Linked DNA regions of Coturnix japonica. The protein of the gene in region 6 interacts with the protein of the main gene of each other region in a biochemical or structural test. Links are inferred from orthologs where the notes say so. Each region holds a gene or a part of one and is shown on either strand. Other genes may lie near its edges.

Region 1 (3,500 bases), on a different chromosome or scaffold from region 6:
TAACCCATATTGTTGTGTACAGATACAGGCACAAGGATATTAATTAAAGATTCATCATAGCGCTTAAATCTGCATACTTGATTTATCAGTGCTGTCTTACGCTTTAAAAGAATTTTGTCACAGCAATTTCCAATACATGTTTGCTCTTTAAATCAAGTACTCTCTTCCTCAAATACTGATATTTTTTTCTAGTCTTCAAAACACTTCATAAGTCTGTTCTGTAGATTAAGCTCCCATATTAGAAATGCATTTTAAGTTTAAACACACCTGATACCGTTATTTTAAAAGAACAAAGAAATATCCAGTAAATTTCTACAATTTCTACATTATCATATTTGCCAGCTGCCACACAGGATCGTATCTGCGTTTCTCATAGTTTAATTTTCATTATTTTTTTTAGAAGTCAATCCTATCCCAGAAAATATAAAGTAGACAATTATATGAGTATTCACCTTTAAACTCATAAGTCTTAGAGTGCTAAGTAAAATCTTCAAAATGCATTAAGGCCAGAATAAAAGAAGCATGCACACAAAAGGCACACTACTAATATATGTTAGATAGGTGTACAGCTAAGAACCCAGGAGCAACCAGTCCATATCCTTCTAGTAAGAAACAGTAATGAAGGCTTACATCAAGAGCATGGAAGAAAAAATATGAGCAGATATAAAGGGTATTAAGTCAATCAGTCTGCTTTCAGTAAAGGTGACTATTTAGTGCTTGTGATACCTGGATAGTTTTCAACCACGTGTTAAACACCATTCCTAACATGTGGAACATAGTGCAAGAGTGAAGTAAAACCAAATAGCTTTAGCAGCACAACAAAGTTTCCCTCTACGCTCAAACACTGCACATTTTTTTTCCTTTTCCATTGTTTGGTTTAAGATTAGATAGATGCATCCAGGGGAATAAGACTAGAATATGCACCTTTGATTAGGACTGGAACACTGTGAGGTCTGTGACAGCCTTGTAGGACAAAGGCTCCACCACACCTCAGCATAATACTTTGCATAAAATATCTTGTTCTATGCGACTCAAAATGGATCACAAGAACAGCTGTGGTGCTGATCTTTTTTTATAATTAGGAATTATGCAAATTAAACAAAACCAAATTCACTTCCCTTCCCAGGAAGCAGAATCAACCTGATGATATCCTGGCCAATACTTAGTGATGCGATTTTACAGTGGCTCTCCTGGGCAGCACAGCATATTACATTCTTCCAGTCTCTACTCAATTCCTTTGAAGATGCAAAACTGTTCACATCTCCATATCAGCTCAAATTTTTGATAAGGCACTAAGGTACAAAAAGAATCCCGTTCATCATCTCTAGTTATATCAAAATCTCCTGTGATTTCCTGAAATGAACAAGATTTTTATGTGCTCTCATCTCAGTTATAAATATTCATTCAACAGTCTGTCAAATATCCAGCTTCAAAAGATAACTGGCTTGGAGGCAAATAAATGTTAATTATACATCTTTTCAGCTCCTCAGCATCACAAGCTGTAGACCTATGCTACAAAATGCATTTTATTGATTTTTTTTTTCTTGTTCCTGAAGAAATACTGAAAAAATGCAGAAGAGAAAGCTCAAGAAAGGTAACCGGATAGTGTAACATGAAGACAATGCCATGTTAACAACAATTACCTGACCTAACAGAGCTGGACTTGCAGTCCAGAAGGTCAACAGGACATTTAATGTATTCAAAGGTAATTGGACCAAGCTGGCAAGTACGATGTAAAAGGGAAAAATTTCACTTACAGACAGTTTTTCAGATACTCAGCATAAACATGTTTACGTTTTAGAAGAAGTAGTAGTACAGAAATATAGTTTAACTGGTAATTGAAAACTGCTCAAAAAATAGGTAATTAACTTACACCATGCCTAGATTACAGAAAAGTAGAAAGAATAAAATTATTTTTACCTTTTCTAGCTTTTTAGCCTCAATATGTCGCAGCACCTGTTCCCTCCAGTCATGAGGGACTTTACTTTTTCCTGTAGGGTCTAACAAAGAGTGCTCAGAGTTAACTCTTGGATTTGATCTCTTTGAAGGGCTAGTCCGAGAGTAATTAAAGTCACTAACTGACATAGTTCTTTCTGGTATTTCATTCACTGACGGACGAGCACTCTGTGGTCGAGGTACATTGGGACCATCAATGCTGTATGTCCTGGCAGAAAGAGGTCTCTGCTGCCCTGACATTACTGGTGGAGCTCTTCCCATTGAATGCAAATCTCTGTATGTCAAATAATCCCCTTCAGGAACCTGGGCCCGCCTTGAAGGTCCAGCATCACCAACATTTACAGAAGCAGTAGAGGATACACTGCTCTGTCTTTGAAGAGTGTGCCTTGTTGCTCCAGGGAGCAGTCTATCGTTTGGTGGAACAGCCCACATGTCTATATGTCTACCAGACATTCGCTGATGAGTGCTATATGCAGCAGTGGCACGGACATTGTTGTGATTGGAGAAATTCATATTGGCAGAATGTTTTACATAGCTGGGTGCTTCTGTGCTTTCAGACCTCAGCAGACGTGAAGGAGGTAAGCTGCTCTGTTCTACTTGAGTGCTTTGTTTCTGGGGCCACAAGGTGTCTTTTGCTGTTGTACTGCTGCTGTACTGAATATTATACTGGGGAGTAGAAAACATCTGTGGACCACCTGTCACTGATCCTCTCACTACATTAGCACCTTCAGGATTGTGATTTGAGTCCAACTTGAATGGAGTTTTTGTAGATGATATTAAATCAGATGATGATGATGACCCAGGAAAAACCTGCAGAGGCTGATCATACAGAAGAGTAGCAGATTTACTCCTGACTATGTTCTTTCCATCTGCACTACCAGATGAAGATTTTACCACTGAGTTTGGCTGTGGAGATACACCATCACTGACAATGTCATAGACTTTCAGGCCACCAGGGTCCATACTGGTGATGCTGTGAGACTTCATCACAGTTCCACTTCTCTGTGGCGACAGATCTTCAGTGCTCCGTGAAACAGACAGCTCAGTGGAAGAGTCACCATCAACTGTAGTGCTTCTCATTAGTTCATCTTTACTGGGAGACTGTACTGATTCCTCAGGATGTCCATTTACTTTATTTATAGGATACTTATTCCCATTTTCCAAGTGCTCACCTTCTTCTTTCATAATATTATTCATAAAGCCCTTTACTGACACTACTTCCTGTGGTTTCACTCTTTCTGTGGGAACTGGCACTGCCTCTTCACTAACCAGTTTATTGATATTCATGTTTATTTGGTCTAACTTGTGAGTCTCCTCTGTAGGAGTACTCAGATCCACACCTTTTTCTATCAGACCTATTCTTTCTTCAATGCTCAGTTCATATTGAGACAGATTTGTAACTTTCTCCTGCACATTTGTGTTTTCTTCTGCAGTAATGTTCAATTCACCTCCGTTTTGCAAAAGATTATTCAAATTTTCATTTTCTCGCCTGCAAGAAAAGATAACCTGTAAGCAATATTCCAAAGGGACTCAAGATATTCCTT
Region 2 (3,500 bases), on a different chromosome or scaffold from region 6:
ACCTTGCAGACTGCATGTAAATACATCATTTTAGATTACTGAATTGTTAAAATCTCAAATACACAAAGGCATTTGAAACTTGCTGTACAAGTGCAGGAGGACAATATTGCATTGTGATGGAACAATATTATTTTGCTTCTGCAGTCCACAAGGATGGTTAATCAGCACCCACTGCTGTCTAATCCAGATTAGAAGAAATTGCTAGATAAATGGAAATACCAGCTTAGCATGAAACAGAGGAATGAAAATTTGATGGTTTCTCTAGGTCATCTGAATCAACACAACAGAGTAGGAATTAGTTTTTTATCCTCCTACTGACAAAGAAAATAAAACACCATATTAAAAGGTAAAGACAATAGTAGGATATAAGTAATGCTGTGGTATTTCCACTCGGTTGTGGATTTACTGGCTTAACTTTCACATCCTGACAGTGTTAACATTTGGAAAAGAAATCAAAATTCTGAACACAGTCTGAGCAAGTAACATACCAAGCTTTGGCACCAACACTTACTTGCAATTATGCTAACAGGTTATGTGTCAACATCTATTACATCATTTGTTTCTGTTACACTCAAAAGGGCTAAATGTGGGGATGGCATGGGAAGACATTTTTGATTATCTGATTTTTAAATTATAGAAGTGAAACTCAAATGTGTATGGAAACTATCTTACCTTCTGGACGGTACTGAGCCACAATAGTTACTGCTTGGCCTGCGTTCTTCAAAGCTGTTGCTGCTTGTTCATGGGTTGCTGCCTTCAGATCGACTCCATTTACCTACAAATTATACAAAAAATCCTTTTTATCAAAATAAATGGTTGTGTTTATTATTATCATCACAAATACAGACTCGTGAATAAAAAAGAGAGTTAACTGGATAGAAACAAGTTTCCATGTCTTGTGAGATTTCCCTGTTTCCAACATTATGAGCTAGTTAATATAAATGAAAATTAGTGATCTTTACTGAAATCAAAAGGCAGTGAACCCTCTCTTGCATATAACCATCTGTTAAGAGACAAATAATCACAGTATATCACTTCATGAATTTATTATCACTAAGTCAATTTTCTTGTTAAAGATCCTTTCAGTCATTTCAGGAAGAAACATGGACATGGCTTAGTGAGAGCTATTGGTAATAAGTGAACAGTTGGACTGGGCGATCACTTAGATCTTTTCCAACCTCAGTGATTCTATGATTCTGAACACAAGATCTTTATGGCCTCTAGTATTAAGACAGGAAAAGTCCTCAGACAGGTTTGAGATGGGTACAATTAAAACTAATGGGAAGTTCTGCAGTTAATCCAGGAAGCGAACCACTAAATGTCTCCATCTCATTAGAAAGCTTGTTTATGAAGATTGCATTCTTTCCATTCAGACACACAGGTAAAATAACTTAAAGTCTTACAACTTTTTAACTCTGAATAACATCTGAGATAGAACAGTGCCATTTTCATTGAGGTAGAGATGAGAAACTAAGGCAGCCTAACATCCGCAAAGGTACTTCAGAAATATACTGGTAACTGTTCCATCGCCTCAAATTCAGCTCAATTAATAATATTCTTTACATTTAAATTGTATTATCCGGCATTAGTACCAAAAGTAGGGGAAAAAATTTTGTTGCTGGTGTTTAAATAAAAGAAGCAAGGACTCCTACAGAAATTATACGATCGCCTTTCCTAAGTTCTCCACTGAGGTCAGCTGGTCCTCCTGCAAGGATGAAAGACACGAAAATGCCTTCCCCATCTTCTCCTCCCACAATGTTGAAGCCAAGACCCGTTGAGCCTCGATGCAGGACAACCTTTCTAGGCTCCCTGGATGAAAGGAAGGAATGCCAAAGCTTAGTCACAAGTCATGAATAAAATTAAATAATTAGAAGTTGTCCGAGTTTTAAAAACTATTGAAAATTCACATACCAAAAATTATATGTTTAACAAGCAAGATTTTCAAATATTTTCTATTATTTGTATACCCTCTATTTTGCTTATAGATGCAAAAAGATCTCCCTGTTGTTAGGTGAACTGAACTATCCATTTGTATGTAGGTATTCTAAATCTCTGTTATGCTGTTTATTCAGCACTACATGACAATATTTAATACTTTCCTTATCATTCAAGAGCCTGGAACAATCTAACAGTAATAAAAACACTATTTTCTGAAACTTATCAATTAAATTCTAATGGAGAAGTTAATAACAAAATGCATGTCCTTGCTGCTCTAATTCCATTCTAGCTGGATGAGAAAAATATAGCAAAGAGAAACTGTAGCATTCTCATGTGTATTTGCAATTTATTTGCTGAAATTCTAACTGAAAAAGTTAAATCCAAAGCAAGTTATTTCATTCTTGGCTTCCTGGCTCAGATCAGGAAATAAAAGGAGAAATGCTGATGAAGGTAAAAGAGTTAATTCAATAGGCACAGCCAGTCAACACCTAGTGCAGAAACCCGCCATCCAAAAACCTGCTGTTTTATCCAGTAGAATAAAAGCATGGATGATTTCAGACACAGGAAACTTCTAATAATAAAACAGAAACCGTGCACTACAGTTAAGAATCACTAGAGAGCACTAAAGAACAATTAACGGACATTCTTAAATATTTGGAGACATAAATTATTAGTTTATAGGACAAATGAAGATGCTGCATTTTTCTAAAACAAAAAATACAATCTAGTCTGGCTTTTTACACTTCTCCATTTCTGCACCAGCTTTTAGATCAACTCAGCATCAAATTCCTAAATTCTGCCCTCTATCTGATGTCAGATTCATCTTTTCTAAGTGCTATTTTATTACAAACATATGACACTGTGGAAACCTACGTATATTGCGCCAGATCACAATAACACATCAACAGATAAGCTGCAGTTAGAGAACGTAAGTACATGACATCTGTTTACATATTATTCAACTTATCTAAGCCTCTTTCTGGGATGAAAGCAGTGGGAGGGAAGGTAATTTCAAGAACACATAAAGCCCTCCTTGAATAGCCCTTACATTTCAAAGGAAGCCTAAAAATCTCAGTAAATTGGAAAAAAACTGTACACTTACAACTTCAATAATACAATCACAGAAGGACAGAATCAATGTGACATACATGCCTACATAACCATAAGCTATAAAACACATATCTGAGGCCCTCCCAGTTTTTAATACACGAAAACTCATTCTACAACTTAACCATCTCACTTACGTTTCAATCTGGGCAGATGCCATCTAAGAAACTGAATGACATTACCCATATTAGAAAATAGTGTGGCACAGACTTCAGCAACAACATACTGAAAATGCAGTGTAATGTTCCCAATTTGCAGGAGAGAAAAGATGAGCTTTACTGATAAACAAAAAGACTGCTTTAATCTTCTACTGAATTGGTGAAGTAATGAGCGGTTGTTAATGGGAAGGGTTAAGAGCTCTCTAGCCATTCTGGATTTACTAATCCATCAAAATAAAATAAACATTTGTCTGAAAAAGATACATTGCTGGCCTTAGGATAATGAATAATCTCTGG
Region 3 (4,248 bases), on a different chromosome or scaffold from region 6:
TCACGGACAGGATGGCATCTCCCACATACAGTGCCTCGGTCTGGTCTGCTGCCAGTCCCTTGAAGATCTTGGAGATGAGGATGGGCATCTTGTTCTCCCGGCCACCTGCGGGCAGAAGGGGCACCAAGCAGTGAGGGGACACTGAGCAATTAGGGGCACAGGGCTGCTCAGTGCCCACACAGTGCCCAAATACCTCAGAGCTTTATGGCAGACACATGTTAAGTGCTTCAAAAAACCATCCGAGTGGCTGCAGATTTCCTTGCTGAACAAACACACGCCCTGACCGCCTCCCCATCACTTCTGGCAGGAAACTGTGTCACTATTTGCATTATTAACTGTGTGTGCTGAGCAGCCTTCCCTGCTCTCAGGACCCCACGGTCTCAGTGGGGCAGCAGCTGAGTGCTGGAGAGGCAAAAGAGCCCCAGAGCAGCAGCTCAGCCGCAGGACTACCTGCTCCCCACTCCTCTCTGTCTCCATTCGGGCTGCTCCCCACTCTTCAGCCCACCAGGACACTCTCAAGGCCTCCGGGCAGCTCAAGGAGATCAATTTGCACTTTAAGTTCTGAACCTGTAGGAGATGCCAGCAGCCCCGCCTGGCGCTGCCCACGCTCAGCGCTGGGACAGCGTGTGCCGGGCACCCCCTCACTCCCCCCTACCCCCCTCCCACGGGCAGGGACCGGCAGCGTGACACCTCCCAGGGCTGCACCCGCTGTGCCGCCAGCATTGCTCCGCTCGGATTTCTGCAGAGCCTCTCCGGGAGCTGAGGGCTCCTCCGGCTATCAGCTGTCAAGAGGCCCCCGCGGGGGCTGCTGCTGGCTGCCGAGCCCAGCTTGGAAGCAACGCCTCGCAACCACCCATTCTGGGCTGTGTGCGTGGAGAGGGAACCACCGCCCGGAGCACCATGCGGTACACGACCCTGCAGGAGAAGGATCCTAACCCTAACCCTAACGATGCTAACCCTAACCCTGCAGGGCTGCATGAAGCACCAGAAACCCCAAGTGAAGTACTGTCTGGGGTTAGGATGCAGCTGAAATGCTTTAACCAGAAGGTCCATTTTAGATTCTGTCCCACGGGCCATGGACAGGAGCTGGCTGGCAGCGGGGTACCCGTCCCTCCATGCCCCCACCCCCTGCAGGGACAGCAAGGTTTGGCTGCGTTTAATGGCACATGGTCACCCCCCTGCAAAGCAGCAGAGGCACAAGGCAGCCCAAGTGCTGCCCGCCCGCCTGCAGCTCCCCGTTTGGATCACGGCTCCTTGGTTTCCACCTACGTCACTGCAAAAATAAAGTTTAGCTGAAGCAAGTAACGTTTCTCCTTTCCTGGGAGAGCCGCAGAGCCGGCAGCGCTTCGCAGCCCGGGGTTGGTTACAAGGGGGGATTGCACCTCCCAAAAGCGCTGCCGAGCTGCAGCACCCACAGCCCCAACAAGCGGTGAGGGCTCACCCCGGACCCCTCACGGGGACCCGCACCCGACACACCGCCCCACCCAGCAGCGCCCGGCAAGGAGCGCGGTGAAGGCTGAGCCCAATGCGGCCACGTCAGACAGCGGCAGCCCCCCGCACCCCCCCTCGCGAAGTTCCCGGCCCGAAGTTCCCGCAAAGTCCCCAGGACGGGGGTGGGGGCGGCGGGGGACACCGGGGGACACCCGACCGGGGCAGAGCGCTGCGTTTGGGGCGGCCAGGAGGGGACACCGCACCGGGGTCACGCAGGACGCAAGGACACGCGGGCGGAGCCCTCCGGTCGCAGCAGGGCAGCGTAGGTCCTACCTGCCGCCGCCGCCGCCCACTCCTGGTACTCCCCCCCCCTCACCTTTGATGCTGATGCCGAGCCCCCCCACGTCCTGTTTGACGACGCGCACCGTGCGCCTGATGTTGGCGAGCGCCTCGGGCACGCCGGAGCTCTGCTCCCCTCCGTTCAGCTGAGCCGGCGGAGGCTCCCCGGGCCCGGGGCCGTCGGCGGGGCTGACGCTCAGGGTGTCATCGCTCAGGGTGAGCAGGACGCGAAGCCACTGTCCGCCGGGACCGCGCAGCTCCAGCAGCCCGCTGCGCGCCCCTCGCCTGCCCGCCGCCATCTTCCGCGCATGCCGGGCCCGGCCCCGCCGCTCCGGCAGCTCCGCTCCGCGCTGCCCCGCGCACCGCCCGGCGGAGCAACGAGCCCCGCGCACCGCCCCCGGCCCGGCCCACGCCCGCCCCGTCGGGGCAGCGCCGCGCTGCGGGGCTCCGTGCCCGAGTATGGGACGGGGAGCGCCGGGAGGGGCATGGGGAGCTCTGCACACCCTCACTCGGACCCTCCCGGCTCCGGGCACCGCGGTGCGGTTGTGTCACAGGGGGACCCTGCGGGGCACGTCGGGGCGCAGCGGTGTCCGTGCCGAGAACCGGGTGCCACGAAAGCTTCGGGCGTGCTGCGGGGTACACGAGTAACTGCTGTCGTGGAAGCGAGCAGCGCTGTCAGGCAGAGCCAGAAGTGACTCGAAGCGAACTCTGGACTTATTAAGGAAAACTGCGATGATGAAAAGCAATGGCAGCTCTTGGGGGCGGTGGGGGGCAGCCTCAAGAGCTCTCCCACTGGCGTCCGACGACGTCGGTGCCCCAAAGATGGGTGCAGACAGCAGCAGGGAGGATTTTTGGAGGCATTCAGAACAGTCTTGCTTTTTTTCTTTCCTTTCCCTGTCCTGCTTCTTGAAAACAGGAACGGTGTTTGTTTCCTTTGGCAGATCCGCATTTCCTCCTGCAACCGAGTGGCAGCAATGAGGGATAAAAAATACCTCTGGGTACATCCCCTGTGCCCCTTCGGGCAGCTCCAGAGCCCTGGGGTGGGGCTGCAGGTCCCCAAGCCCCAGGCTCTGCAAACGCAGCCTTAAAGGAATTGAATCCCGTTCACGCACAAGGGGAGGTGGGGGGGGTATTGCAGAGCAGGGGGCTGCAGCCCTCCCCACCCCCACACGGAGGCAGCAGCGCTCCCCCCACGCAGAGGCAGCTGTGGAATTTCTTGAGATTGCGGCAGAGGAAACCCTGAAGGTTTTTCCCTTGCAAAGCACAGCTCAGATATTCCAGTTTTCAATCCAAATTCTGCAGTTCGATTGGAGTGACTTTTTGGGTTTGCCTAACAGTGATGCTCCCACGCCCATCACACCCCCCCCTCCCCCCCCCCAGTCCTCTGTGCATCCCACAGACCCTGAGCTGCTGTGCCCATAGCAGAGGGGGTTCAGTCCTTTTGCTGCCAGTTGGGGTCACTTTGCCCCTTGCCACTCGCAGTCTTTTTTCTTTCCAATGCTATTTCCAGCACAGGTGATTATTAAGGCTGTATTCTCATTGTAAGCCACGTCAGAAAGCAGAGACACTGCTCCCAGTGCCACAGGATGGCACCATCCAGGGATATGTGATATGTTTGCTTCCCCAGCCCTGGCAGCACTATGCAAAGCAGCAGTGGGAAGCAGAGCAGTGCCACACAGGGGGAAACCTTGTGCCATGCCACACTGCTGGGCAGCAAGGCCATGTGTGCAGCCCCACATCATGGCACAGAGGTGCTGCAGTGCCCGTGGGATGGTGATATCTTCACTGTGATTCTGTCACAAGGCTGAGCCCATCCCATCCTCCCCCTGCAGAACATCCCCGCTCCCGGACGTGGTGGGTGAGCTGCTATTATTAGCTTCAGCTCTTGGCACACACAGGAGCTGTGTCAAAGCCCACCCGTCTATTTATAGAGCGCTGTTAGCTGCGTGAATTTACATGAATCACTTCTGAAACAGAAGAAAAGCTCGTGTTTGGGTCTGAAGTGGCATCCCCAAGGCTGACAGCAGCACCTCAGGAGAGCATGGGGCAGCAGGTCCTGCCTTGCTGAAACAGATCAGAGGCTGCAAATGCACTGGAGAGGATGGGCAGGGAAATAAAAGAGATTCAGATGTGCACCATGTACTTAACCGAGTGATTCATCCCCTGGTATACAGGAAATGTAGTGAAATGGTGTTGTCTGCCCAAACTGTGCAGTCTCCGACTCCTCCAGTTGACTTTAAAATGTTTTGCTTTGGGACACAGTCACTCCTGGCCGAGTTTCTCCCTTCTCAGTCTGGGTTCTGCTCTCTGGATCCCCATAAGACAGCCACACCAGCTGAGCTCTGTGCTGTGGAAGCGCTTTGCTGCTGCACAGCAGATGGGTTATCAAGGCTGGATGAGTGCTGTCAAAGAAACAGGAAAAAGAAGCACCTGGGGACTGAGATAGGTGTGGGGAAAGCAGGAGCTGGGGGATGCAGC
Region 4 (4,236 bases), on a different chromosome or scaffold from region 6:
TGCTTGAGAATACCAAGCAAATATCATGATGTCAATGTGAGAACCAGACAGCAAGAATCTGCACTAAACAAATTATCACAAACCCCAAGGAACAAAAACAAGGCAGAGTTCTTGGAAACTCTGGAAGTCTTTATCTGTGGCAGATGAGCAAATGGATCTGCCATGGCAGAGGGGTTCACTGCCTCATGCCCAATGGGAGAATCTTCCTATTCTCCAAAGGTTCTTCCTCTTGTTATGTCTGCCCACATGCCCATGTCTTGTTATGTCAGCTATGCCACAGCTTCTTCCCTCTGTCATCACCCTCCTTCTGGCCTCCTTCCCACCCGAGCAGAGAGGCATCCAACTCACTTTTGCGCTGCTCCTCCTTCTGCAGGAACTTCCGCAGCCGGTCTGAGGGGATGGCAAAGGAGATGCCTGATGTCACCTTCATAGTGTTCACCCCAATCACTTCGCCATCCTGCATGGAAAAGGGCAACGTGTTCTCCAACCTGCACCTTTATGGAGCTGTGCAAAACTTAAAGCCTGCGCACCGTCCCCCCCTGGGCAGTCTGACCCTGCTGAGGCCGGGCAGGGATGAGTCCCACCAAGCAGAGCTCTCACCCCACGCTAATTCCTTGATCCCACCCTTTAAGATGCCGAGAGCACACAGTTCCTCCTTCCCTCCTGACAGCTGAGGATACTTGCACAGTGCTCCCACTGAGGGCACACAGCCCCAGGAGAAAAGGCCCACTGGGATACATGCAGGAGAACTTACCAAGTTGACGAGGGGACCACCAGAGTTCCCAAACTGGAACAACAGAGAGAGCAGCAATGAGGCCACAAAAGCAAACCTCAAACACTACCCCACAGTGAGCAGGCAGAGCCCAGGGAACAGGGCTCAGGCTGAGAAACAGCCAGATCACCAACCAGGAGCACCCTCCTCCCAGCCTGCTGTGCCCAGACCTCACAGCACACAGAGCCCTTCCCCAGAGCAGGCAGCGGGACGAAGCTCCAGCCCAGCCTGCGCCCTTACGTCGATAGCGGCGTCCGTCTGGATGTACTCCATGTCGGAGGCGGTCAGGCCCAGCTCCCGGCTGCCGCGCTGCGCGGAGCTGACAATGCCGGACGTGATGGTGTTCTGCAAGGCGAAGGGGCTGCCCATGGCCACCACGAACTCTCCCTGCCGCACCTCAGAGGAGCGGCCGAGGGGCAACGTGGGCAGCGGGTGCTGGAAGAGAGGAACCGGGTAAGCAGAAGGCGGGAGAGGAAGGGAGCCCCTGGGCAAAGTGCCCCGCACCTTAGGCTTGATCCGGATGGTGGCAATGTCTGCGACCTGGTCCACGTCCTGCACCACAGCGTCGTACTGCTCCCCGCTGGCCAGCTTCACCCGCACACGGCGCCGGTTGGCCACCACGTGAGCGTTGGTCACAATGAGCCCATCAGGAGACACCACGAACCCCGAACCGTTCGAGATGGGCACCTCACGGCCTGAGAATGGGTGCCTGCAAGGTGGGCAAAGGTCATGGGAGGACATGGGGGCCCAGAGGGGACCAGTGGGTATGTGTGAGGCCAGGCCAGCGGGCAGCTGCATGGCTCAGCATGGTGGGCTGGACGGCAGCGGGAGACTGTGAGGAGATGCCCGGATGACAGCAGGACATGGGAGCTCCTTCACAGCCCCGCGCTGGGTGTCCATCCCAAGAGTCTGCACAACTGTGTGCGCTATGGGGCAGCAAGCAGCAGGAACCAGAAATCCATGGGAATGGCAAAAGCGTCTCCCCATGAGGACCACAGAGGTGCAGTGGGAAGCACACACTAACAAAGAGCTGCGGTGGACATTGGTGTCTTTGGGACAGATAAGCAGTTCAGGTTATGGAAAGACACAACCTGAACACAGAGCTTTGCTGTGAGGGCCACACGGGGTGAGCTGGTGTCCCTGTGAGTCTATTTGTGACCTTCAAACAGTCAGAGTGGCTCAGGGGGGCTCTAAATTGATGAAAAAAGGCATCAAAGCAACGTGACAACGGGGACGTGAGGACACCGGGGCCCAAGTACCGGCCAGTTTCACCCTCTGCCTTTGGGAACGGCCTGGGGCAAACGCTGCAGGAAAACACTTCCAGGCCCACAGTAACATGGTACCATCTATTGTAAACTGAGGGCTCCCAGCAGCGCCTGCAGTGCCCATGCAGGTGACACTGAGGCCGGTCATAAGGCAGGGTGACCGTAATGCAGGGTGACAATAAGGCAGGGTGACTATAAGGCAGGGTGACCATAGGGCAGGGTGACCGTAAGTCAGGCCGGCCGCGCGGCAGCGGGTGGTGCCGGGCGGTGCCGTCCGTACCTGCCCACGATCTCCACGTAGACCAGGGCGGGCGCCGTCTTCTCCACGACGTCGGCGATGAAGTTGAAGGCGGCGCGGGGCGAACCGGGCGGCGGGGCGGGCGGGGCGGGCACGGCGGCGAGCAGCGCGGGACGGCGGCCTTCCCGGCACCACAGCAGCAGCAGCGCCGCCGTCCCGGCGCCCAGAGCGGCGGCCAGCAGCCGGTGTCCGCCGGGGGGGGCGGGGCAGGACGGCGGGGGCGGCGGCGGCGGGCGGGGGTTGGCGGCGGACACGCACATCGCGCGGCCCCAGCGCGTGGCGACCGGCGGAGCGCGCAGCCACCGGCACAGCGCCGCCATAGCGCCGGAACGCGGGGCAGGACGGGAACTGCGCGCTGAGCAGGAGCGGGACGCGCGGCTGGGTCGGGCTGGTCGGTGCCGCCGGTGCCGCCGGTGCCGCCGCTCCTCCCGCTCCTCCCGCTCCTGCCGCTGCCGGCGCCGCGCCCGCGGGCGGACCAGGCCGCGCTCGTGAGCTCAGGGCGGCGGCGCGGGGCACGCCGGGAAGGCCGCGCTCCTCCCAGAGCGCCCCGCGCGGTGCGGGCGGGCGGCGGAAGATGGCGGCGGGTGGAGCGGGGTGTTGAGCGGGACGGGACGGACGGAGCGCGGCATGGAGCGCAGCGCGGCGCCGGGCCCGGAGCGGCTCTTCGACTCGCAGCGGTGAGAGCCGGGCGCCGGGCCCGCAACGTCCGGAGCCGCCGGGGGGACCCCGCGGGGCGGGACGGGGCGTCCCGGGAGTGGGCGGGAGGAACCGGGCCGGGCGGGGGCTGGGGGCTGAGCGTGGGGCTGAGCGGCCGGGCGGGGGCTGGGGGCTGAGCGTGGGGCTGAGCGGCCGCCCCGACCCCCCCCCGTCCATCCCGACCCCCCCCGTCCATCCCGACCCCCCCCGTCCATCCCGACCCCCCGCCCACCGTTGCCGTTGTCCTCCCGCAGGTTTCCCAGTGACGGGCTCGTGCTGCTGGCGCTGCTGCTGTACGCTCCCGTGGGGCTGTGTCTGCTCGTGCTGCGGCTGTTCATCGGGGTGCACGTCTTCCTGGTCAGCTGCATCCTGCCCGACGGGACGCTGCGACGGTGCGTGCGGGGACGGGCGGGCTCCGCTCATCCCGGGCCCTACGGACGGGCCGCCGTTACCGCGGGGGGTCCCGGGCAGCTCCGGGGCCGTTGTGCGCCCTGCGGTCACGGAACGGCTCTGTTGGAAGGGGCCGGGGCTGTGGGCTGCGCCCGGCTCCGATCGGAAACACACGGGGCTGTTGGTGCTGTTGGTTCTATTGGTGCTGTTGGTGTTGTTGGTTCTATTGGTGCTGTTGTCGCTGTTGTCAGCTCTGGGCCCGGTGCCCCCTGCCCCGTGTTTCCTGCTGCGGTGGCAGCCCTGCAGGCCGCTCTCAGCTGCGGCCCACAAACACTTCCAGTCTGTCGTGTCATTCCCATTTCGTACCGATATCTTTTCCCAACCCCAGTCCCGGGTTCCTGTTTTCTCGGCTCTCTGAGGCAGCTGTGGCTCAGACTGCACATCTGAGGGAGCCCTTTTTCCCTCCTTTAGCCTTATTGTCCGTGTGATGTGCTCAGTGCTGGGGCTGTTTGTGCAGCAGAGCGGTCCCCGTCTCCGTGACGCTGCGGTGCAGGTTTACATTGCCAACCACGTCACACACTTTGATCACAATGTCATCAACCTGCTGACCTCCTGCAACACGGTGAGTACCGCCCGGCTGGGGCACGGCGGGGCTGTAAGGGCCTTTCCAAGCACACACTCGGCTATTTCAGACTTTAGATGTTGCTCTGAATGTTCTCGGTTCTTATTTATTAACCTTGGATTGTGCAAGCCTGAAGTATTTTTTTCTGTGGTTCAGTTTCATGCTTGTGTGAAAAGCTGAAGGTGAGAGGTAA
Region 5 (4,113 bases), on a different chromosome or scaffold from region 6:
CAGTTTAGTGCTGAGCTGGTAAATACCTCGTTTCACTGAGCAAGCAGTTTTAGAAGGATGCAAAGCCATGACGTCGGGTGCGCTGAGCCACAGCCTCAGAGCTGACCACTTCAGCATGCACAAAACCCATAAACCCTTTCCTGGAGATCACAACACCTTGGGTAACACTGCAATCTCCCCCTCACACCCTAACATCTGTCCCTCATGTGTAGCACCTCATGGTGCCTTTTCAAATTCTTTAAGCCCAAGTCAGCTTTTCTGCTCTGTGAGACACAAGCCTCTGAATCTCCTTGAAAACATGCATGTTATATTTTGGTAATACACAATGGCAGTGCCCTGCTAACCAGAGCAACAGCCCAGAGAGGAACTGTGCAGGGATTCACCCCAGCTCAGGGTGCTCCTTGTAATGCACAGCTTTCCAAGAAGTCGGGAAGCAGCACGTTCCTCTTGTCTGGGAGGTGAGGAAAAGCAACGCTCTTCCCTCCCGTACTTCAAAGGGGAAAAAATCTTCTGGCTATTCCTTCCCTTTATAGTAAAAAGACCATTTTAGGCTGTGCTACTGGAGAAAGGTCTCTGAAGTGGGAAACTGAATCCTTGGCTTACACAAGCCACTCAAGCAGAGGTTCACAGAATCCTAAATTGGAAGGGACCCCTACAGATCACTGAGTCCAACCCTAGCTGCACAGAGCAGCACCTCCTGGGGACACGCCGGAGACAATCCTGTATTTAGATATTCTGCTAAAACTGCAGAAGAAAACCAAGACAAATACTGCTTTCAGCACTGGAGTATTTTAAACATCTAAAGGGAGGACTACTGAAAGAGACTCTCAGTTTACAACTTACAAATTCCACTGCGGGAACAAGCACTGAAGCACATCAGCCTACACCTCCACGGAGCAAAGAAATGCAAGAAAACAGCTGCAGAGGCCAATGGAGCAAAGAGGAGTCGTCCCTGCTCAAACAGCTTCAAGTGTGCTCCTACCAGGAACAACTCAGAGTTTTTTAGCAGGCTTATGCAGCAGCAGCACAGTCAGGTGCTGTTTCCACAGGCAGCGTGCTGTGCGCTCCTCATTAGATCACAGCACAGGTCAGCTGCTGCTGGCCTGCACCCCGGGAGCCCCGCACTGTGCAAACAAACCAGTGGCACAATTCCGACATCACCGCTCCATTCAGACCTCAGTGAGTTTACATTAGGACTTCACAGGAATCTTTGCATGCAGTTAACAGGGAGGAGACATGGTTTGGTCATGGGAGCACAGGGCACGTGGTGGCCCTCAGCTTGTTAAAGCCTCACAGCAATCCCCGCACAGGTTTCACTGCAGTGTGGATGGCACTGAGCAGTTTCTCAGCAGCCAAAACCACAGATTAAATTTTCTCACCTCCCCCACCTTTACTGCACAGAACCACTTCTTAAAGCTTTTCCCATAACTTTGTGCCACAGTCAGTTGTTTGCAGCTGATGCTCATGTGTATCCCTGAACTGGCAGCAGCACTTCCTCTGCTTCTTAGAACATAAAAGAGACATGTGAAGAACTGTGTTTGAAGGTTACCTAATGCGCTGCTGGGATACCAAGGTAGGGGCACCCAGGGCTTGGAGGAAGGCATGGGGATGGCACAGTAGCACACTAAAAATGCCAATGACCTCTGGTTAAATGAACTTCTGGGCTAAGGTGCAATCACTTTATCAAACATATGCCAAGGGCACTGCTCAAGCTGTTCATTCTCTCAGGTCCAGCAACCACACAAATCCCGGGAAGAACACAAGGACTGCACGTCCATGATTGCCTCCCTCCTTATGAGCATGGTGTCCTGGGGAGTTATTCTGCCTCTGCTCAGCCCTTGCCAACAGTTGTTTCATGGACAACTCCCATACAACACATATACACACCATGCTCCAGACTCCGTTTCTAAAGCTGCTTCTTACCAAACTCAGTCATTCCCAGACACAAAACATTTGTGGGGATGGTTTCTGTGTCAGGAGGTACCAACAGCTTCCTCAGAGCCCACTCCCCCCGCCAAGGCCCGGTTCAGCCGCCGACTGTCGGGGCTCCGCAGTTTGGTCGCGCATCGGACGGCAGAGCCCCGACTCTGGCCGCTCTGCGGAGCCCCGACAGCCGCGCGGTGCCATCCGTGAGGCTCCGTCCCCGCGCCGTCGGGGTTCCCTACCGAAAGGGCGACCGGAGCGAGGCGCACGGAGCGGTCCCGCACCCCCCTCCGCCGGCAGCCCCGTACCTTCCAGCAGCACCTCCTTGCCGGCCCGCTTGAGTGCCTGCACCGCCTCGTCGTGGGTGGCATCCCGCAGGTCGGTGCCGTTGACGGCCAGGATGGCATCGCCCACGTAGAGGGCCTGGGTCTGGTCGGCCGCCAGCCCCTTGAAGATCTTGCTGATGAGGATGGGCATCTTGTTCTCCTTGCCTCCCTTGATGCTGATGCCCAACCCGCCCAGCTCCTGCTTCAGCACCTTCACGCAGCGCTTCTTGTTGGAGACGGCTTCGGGCACCTGCTCGGGGGGGTCGGTGAAGGCGGTGCGCACCGCCGAGCCCCCGCCGCCGCCCTCGGCTCCGCGGCACGCCGCCCCATCGCTTCCCAGCCCGTTGTGGGCCGCGCCGTCGGGGCGCTCCTCTCCGCTCAGCACCAGCGCCTCGCCGCCCAAGTTGGCCAGCACTTTGTGCCAGCGCTCCCGCACCAAAACTTCCAGCCAGCCGCTGCGCTGCGCCCGGCCGCCCCCGCCGCCGCCGCCCGCCGCCGCTACCGCCATCTTAGGAGCATGCTGGAAGCGCCGAGTGACGGCACCCCCGGCACGGCACGGAGCGGCGGTACCGGACTTCAGCCGGGGGCGGTGAGCTCCCGGCGCGGCGGGGTGGGGCGAGGTGCCGCGGCCGCCCCCCCGGGGCCGTGCCTGGGCGGGCGCACCTGGCGGCACCGCCCGCGGAGCGCGACTCCGTGCGGGAGAGCGTGCGGTCGGAGGGTCCGGGAGCTCCGCGAGCTCCGCACTCCCAGCTCCGCTGGATGGGCAGCGCAGGGTGAGCGGCGGACCTTCCGCGTCCCGCCGTCGCCGTCAGAAGGCTCGACTTGGGCTGAAAGCCGCCGAGAGCGGGGCGGGGGCTCCCGGCTTGTGCGGAGGAGAAGCGTGCGTTATCCTATGACTTTGCACTCATGAGCGTCCCTTCGAGCTGAGCGCGTTTACCACCGAAGGGATCCACTGAGAGCAGTGGTGTCAACCCCTCCATCCCCTCCCACCTTTTGCCTCTCCGTTGTGTAGCAGCGAGGGGAATGAAAGCAGTGGGATAGAGGAGAGTAATAGTGCTATCGGCAGAGAAGCTTTGGCAAAAAATACAAGTTTATTTTTCTCAGTTGCTTCTCGTAAATAAACGGATTAACACAAATAGTTGGTACAGAGTTAGACTACTTCAGTTGGGCAATCAAACTTGCTTCGCTGCTTCGGTGGATGAAGATGGTAAATGATTTTCATGAACCCTTTTGCAAATTTTTAAACTTTGTCCTTTGTTTGCTACGTTTTAAGCCCCGTGAAGTCCAGTTCTGCAGTCTTTCCCGTGCTCTCTCTCCTCCTAGGATGCAATCTGGTGCCTGATGAGTAGCCTGAGTCCCCAACTCAGTTGTGAAAGTGGACCAAAAAGGTCACCCTGGCAGCTTTGAGGTGTCATCAGCCAGTCTGGGTGTGCTGCTCTGAAGCAGTGTCACTGCAGCCATTGAGAACACCTCAGTTTCCCCTCCATCCAGGATGGCTCCAACTCCTTGTCAGCTGGGCTGAAAACTACAGCAGTTCAGGAGCACTTGGCATGTGCCAAGTGAGAGAGGGAACGGCCTCAAGTCGAGCCACGGGAGATTCACATTGGATATTCAGAAAAGTTTATTCTCTGAAAGAGTGGTGAGGTGTTGGCACAGGCTGCTCAGGGAGGTGCTGGAGTCACTGTCCCTGCAGGTGTTGAAGAAACGTGGCACTGAAAGCTTAGTGGGTGTGGTGGTGATGGGTTGATGGTCAGCTTAGATCATCTTTTTCAACCATAATGATTCTGTGATTCTACACAGGAGCAGTGCTTTAAGGGGGGAAAGGGTTACACAAAATGCATTCCCTTGCCTCCAGCAGGCAGCA
Region 6 (3,500 bases):
ATGGCCTTTCTAGCTGCTTATTCTTTAAAACATCACAAAACTAAACTCACGCTTCCACTCATCCAGGGGTAGATCCATGTTATCAAATGTGTCATCATATTTCTCAGCCTCAATTTCTTCCTCAGGATCATGAATTGCTTCAAAGTAAGGATGCATCAAAGCCTCAGCTGCCGTGACTCGCTCCTCCGCATCCAGCACCAGCATGTTCTCCAAAAGATTCACAGCTATGGGACAGAAAATGAACACTGCATTGAAATCAAGCGCCGATTTCAGCTTATACATAGTAATGCTGCATTGAAGATGCTTCAAAGATACCTACAGATTTACAAAGCAGAATCATTGGGTGCTCATTCTACAGCCAGTGAGGTCCAACTGCACAACAAAACAGAGTGCTGTGAACAAGCTGGGATGTGTACCAAGAAATGCAGAGATGCTCCTTAAATTCCACATGCAATACAGACACATCACCTCAGCTCTGACTTCTGAACTTCTGACTCCAGGTCCACTGCATGTAGGAACTCCCCAGATGTCTGCCCTCACTGCCAGCACTTTGTTGTGGTTATGAGGCACATCATTACTTGGCAGGGGCACTATGAGCAGATGGGTGTAGAGCTATCGAGAATTGTTTGTTATGTGACTAGATCCATGTCCTCAGCATTGGCAGCACATTTTCAAGTTCACCAAGACATCCATGCTCTAAATGTCAGCACTAACTTTATCTGCAACGTGTTTTGACCTCACCAAGACAATCCATGAAATCCATGAACATCTTCAGTGTTCCTCACGGGTGGATTTTGGATCGGGCCCTCTGTGAGACTATCAAAAGGCACTAGTATAAACTGACATGATTCTATTATGTTCATAAAAGTATCCTGTAAGAAAGTTTCTGAGTTGGGTGGAGCACCAGAAAGGAAGAAGGGACAGCAGCATGGGAAAAGATGCTACAACACCTGCTTGGCACATTATGGCTTCATAGCATCATAGAATCATTTCGATTGGAAAAGAACACTGAAATCTTTAAGTCCAACCACGCACCTAACAAGTCCTTCCAACCTTCTCTCCCAGACCAAGAGCAGTTGTTTTTCTTATAAGGAACAGCCAGATGGCCAAAGAAGTGACAGGAAGAAATAAAGTAGAGATGTGTAGAGTTTTCTGCAGCTGGGACAGCTAGTGAGTGAGCCATGCGGTCATGGTTAATAATCCTACTGTATCTTCATATGCCATTTTAACTGCTTAAATACAGAAGATTCAATTGTCCTAATTCATATTCTAAGAAAGCCTGGCTTTATGAGTCAGGTCATTGGGGAACGGATGAAGCTGGGCAGAGCCATCTCAGAGCACTTATTGCCTCAGGTCATGTCACAGTTATGCACACTTGGTATGTTCTTCTAGCTGTTTATATCCATCAAATACAAGCCAGATCTTTGCAGGAATGCACAGATGTTTCTCAGGACGCATTCATTCCATGTCTAAAATGTCAGCTTTCTATTTGTTTGCATTTCTGTTGTACATCAAAAGGACCTTTCAGAATTATATTTAAAATACAATGCACAGAAACCTTTATTAAATATATTTAAATCCCCAGGGCTCTTGAGAAAGCTGCTTCAGTAAAACCATTAAGCACGGTCTGGATCAGAGCCTAAAGCATAAAATACTTCTTTTTGACTCTTTTGAATCATCTGATTCCTGGCAGTGTCTAAACTTGGCACAGTTCGGCCACTAGAATCAAAGTTCTGAGTTATGGAAAGCAAGAGGCAGAGCAGCATGGGAATCATCACATAACTTATCACATGCTGACACTGCTGCTGCCTCCAGTGCAAACAAAACAACAACGGACTGTACACATTGACACAAACTGCCTTACCCAAAGGACTCGCATGCTTCAAGACGGATGCAAAATCCTTTTTCTGGACTTTTGGAAGGCTTTTGATGTAGTTTTTTGCCTTGAAAGAAACATGAGTATTAAATCAGAACTTTTCCTCCTTTACTAGGTACCTTACTGGTGCTTTGACAGTACCTTGCACAAAAGGATATTTTTTTTTGTTCTAAGGCCTGGTTATGTTCATCTTCTTGTTGAAAGGAACAGTTTCTTTTAAACCAAACCTCACAATTCTGATTAAGAAATTAAACATAAAGCTCTGATACCTAATCAACATCTAATATGCTGATTAGAATAAGTATGTATTCATCGTTTGAAAGAATGCCATACTGAAATTTACAGAAGCCTCTAAAAGTGTATGTTTCACAGTAATTCTGTAGTATTCAATCTGCACAGTTCATCTAATGGTTTATTTTAGGTTCTTTATAGCAGGGACTTCAGGATTCTCAAAAACATCACAAGAAAATAGGAAAGAGGAAGTCAGAGACACCCACAGAATGGATGGGCTCTCTGAAGAGGTTCATATTGTCAGTACACTTCCAGCAAAGGAAGTAATGTATCAGCTCAGCTGATTTAAAGTACTTAAATATATTGGTTTTTTTCAGTGTCCTAATCATTTTGTTTCCTCTTAATGTCCAGTAATTATTCTGGCTGTGAAACCTCCAAAGTAGGCAGAGAATCCTCCATGTGGCGCAAGTGGTAGAAGTGCCGCTCTGCTACACAGGAGGCTCGAATCCCAGGGGTTGGACTCGATGACCTCTAAGGTCCCTTCCAACTCGCACAAGACTGTGATACTGTGATACTGTGATAGATGTGCTATCAGGGGTCATTTCAGCAGCCAACACACACAATCTCAGGCAGTCTAAGAATTGAGAATGGCCCAGCGCACACAACACAGTCTGACAAAGCAGAACACTCACCTCCTGACTCTTCAGTTTTTGCACAAAATCTTGACTTGGAGTACCCGTTACTTTCATGATTTCTGTGAGCTGGTCCAGATCTGAATGCCAGAAATAAGGAACAAAGACTCTCACCATAGGATAAAAATTACGTGTTTCTTTGCTGCTGGAGAATAAAGCAAAACCAACAATGCAACAGCTGAACAGGAGGCATGTAAAAGATGAGCTGTCAGACATACAGAACTCGTAAACAGGACAAGTGATGAATTCTTGCTGTATTCTTTAGCACTACACTCCGCTGTCTGTCACAAGCGTTCGGGCCAACAAAGTATCACCTAAGGTTGAAGTATGGCCAAATCTTAACTATTTTCTTAAATTGTCAGCAATGAAATGACATGACTAAATATTTTCTGCACATCTAAAATATTCTACTATGTATTATTTACATGGTATTTTGGACAAAAGCCTCAAAAAGCTTGAAATGGACTAGCACATGCTCATAAGTTCATACACTACACCAGAACTTTCTGTGCTGAAGTTGTGGAACCTATTGCTACAACAAATGCATATGTATATATATTAATATTTACCTTTTGTATTGTCAGTGAAACTTTTAGCTGATGATTTGAGGCATCATTCAATGGATATCCCAATCCCACTCTCTATTGAGAAAGTTCAGTAATATGAGTTTTAATTCGCTGATGTACAGATGTGGTACAAGT

Evidence for each region.
Region 1: the proteins of mitogen-activated protein kinase 12-like (region 6) and ERBIN interact in a test that uses a peptide from one of them, tested with the Homo sapiens proteins (2 studies listed by BioGRID and IntAct). The link is inferred for Coturnix japonica from reciprocal best matches to the Homo sapiens genes MAPK12 and ERBIN.
Region 2: the proteins of mitogen-activated protein kinase 12-like (region 6) and DLG1 interact in a test that uses a peptide from one of them, tested with the Homo sapiens proteins (2 studies listed by IntAct, with this or other methods). The link is inferred for Coturnix japonica from reciprocal best matches to the Homo sapiens genes MAPK12 and DLG1.
Region 3: of the proteins of mitogen-activated protein kinase 12-like (region 6) and SNTA1, one has a biochemical effect on the other in vitro, tested with the Homo sapiens proteins (2 studies listed by BioGRID and IntAct, with this or other methods). The link is inferred for Coturnix japonica from reciprocal best matches to the Homo sapiens genes MAPK12 and SNTA1.
Region 4: of the proteins of mitogen-activated protein kinase 12-like (region 6) and HTRA2, one has a biochemical effect on the other in vitro, tested with the Homo sapiens proteins (2 studies listed by BioGRID and IntAct, with this or other methods). The link is inferred for Coturnix japonica from reciprocal best matches to the Homo sapiens genes MAPK12 and HTRA2.
Region 5: the proteins of mitogen-activated protein kinase 12-like (region 6) and SNTB1 interact in a test that uses a peptide from one of them, tested with the Homo sapiens proteins (2 studies listed by IntAct, with this or other methods). The link is inferred for Coturnix japonica from reciprocal best matches to the Homo sapiens genes MAPK12 and SNTB1.

Annotation. Positions count from the first base shown.
Region 1 is NC_029547.1:14,161,419-14,164,918, forward strand, and holds part of ERBIN (erbin), read right to left. Parts: intron 3,446-3,500; coding exon 1,921-3,445; intron 1-1,920. UniProt on the Homo sapiens protein: Acts as an adapter for the receptor ERBB2, in epithelia. By binding the unphosphorylated 'Tyr-1248' of receptor ERBB2, it may contribute to stabilize this unphosphorylated state.
Region 2 is NC_029524.1:10,741,798-10,745,297, forward strand, and holds part of DLG1 (disks large homolog 1), read right to left. Parts: intron 1,810-3,500; coding exon 1,653-1,809; intron 776-1,652; coding exon 673-775; intron 1-672. UniProt on the Homo sapiens protein: Essential multidomain scaffolding protein required for normal development. Recruits channels, receptors and signaling molecules to discrete plasma membrane domains in polarized cells.
Region 3 is NC_029535.1:2,063,036-2,067,283, reverse strand, and holds the start of SNTA1 (alpha-1-syntrophin), read right to left. Parts: upstream 2,801-4,248; 5' UTR 2,070-2,800; coding exon 1,808-2,069; intron 106-1,807; coding exon 1-105. UniProt on the Homo sapiens protein: Adapter protein that binds to and probably organizes the subcellular localization of a variety of membrane proteins. May link various receptors to the actin cytoskeleton and the extracellular matrix via the dystrophin glycoprotein complex.
Region 4 is NW_015439533.1:471,255-475,490, reverse strand, and holds the start of HTRA2 (serine protease HTRA2, mitochondrial), read right to left. Parts: upstream 2,801-4,236; 5' UTR 2,656-2,800; coding exon 2,318-2,655; intron 1,482-2,317; coding exon 1,013-1,481; intron 788-1,012; coding exon 755-787; intron 458-754; coding exon 349-457; intron 1-348. Other genes in the region: AUP1 (ancient ubiquitous protein 1), read left to right, coding at 2,963-3,012, 3,286-3,423, 3,893-4,043.
Region 5 is NC_029517.1:123,525,465-123,529,577, forward strand, and holds the start of SNTB1 (beta-1-syntrophin), read right to left. Parts: upstream 2,801-4,113; 5' UTR 2,758-2,800; coding exon 2,232-2,757; intron 1-2,231. UniProt on the Homo sapiens protein: Adapter protein that binds to and probably organizes the subcellular localization of a variety of membrane proteins. May link various receptors to the actin cytoskeleton and the dystrophin glycoprotein complex.
Region 6 is NC_029516.1:18,175,128-18,178,627, forward strand, and holds part of mitogen-activated protein kinase 12-like, read right to left. Parts: intron 2,880-3,500; coding exon 2,800-2,879; intron 1,944-2,799; coding exon 1,865-1,943; intron 225-1,864; coding exon 51-224; intron 1-50. UniProt on the Homo sapiens protein: Serine/threonine kinase which acts as an essential component of the MAP kinase signal transduction pathway.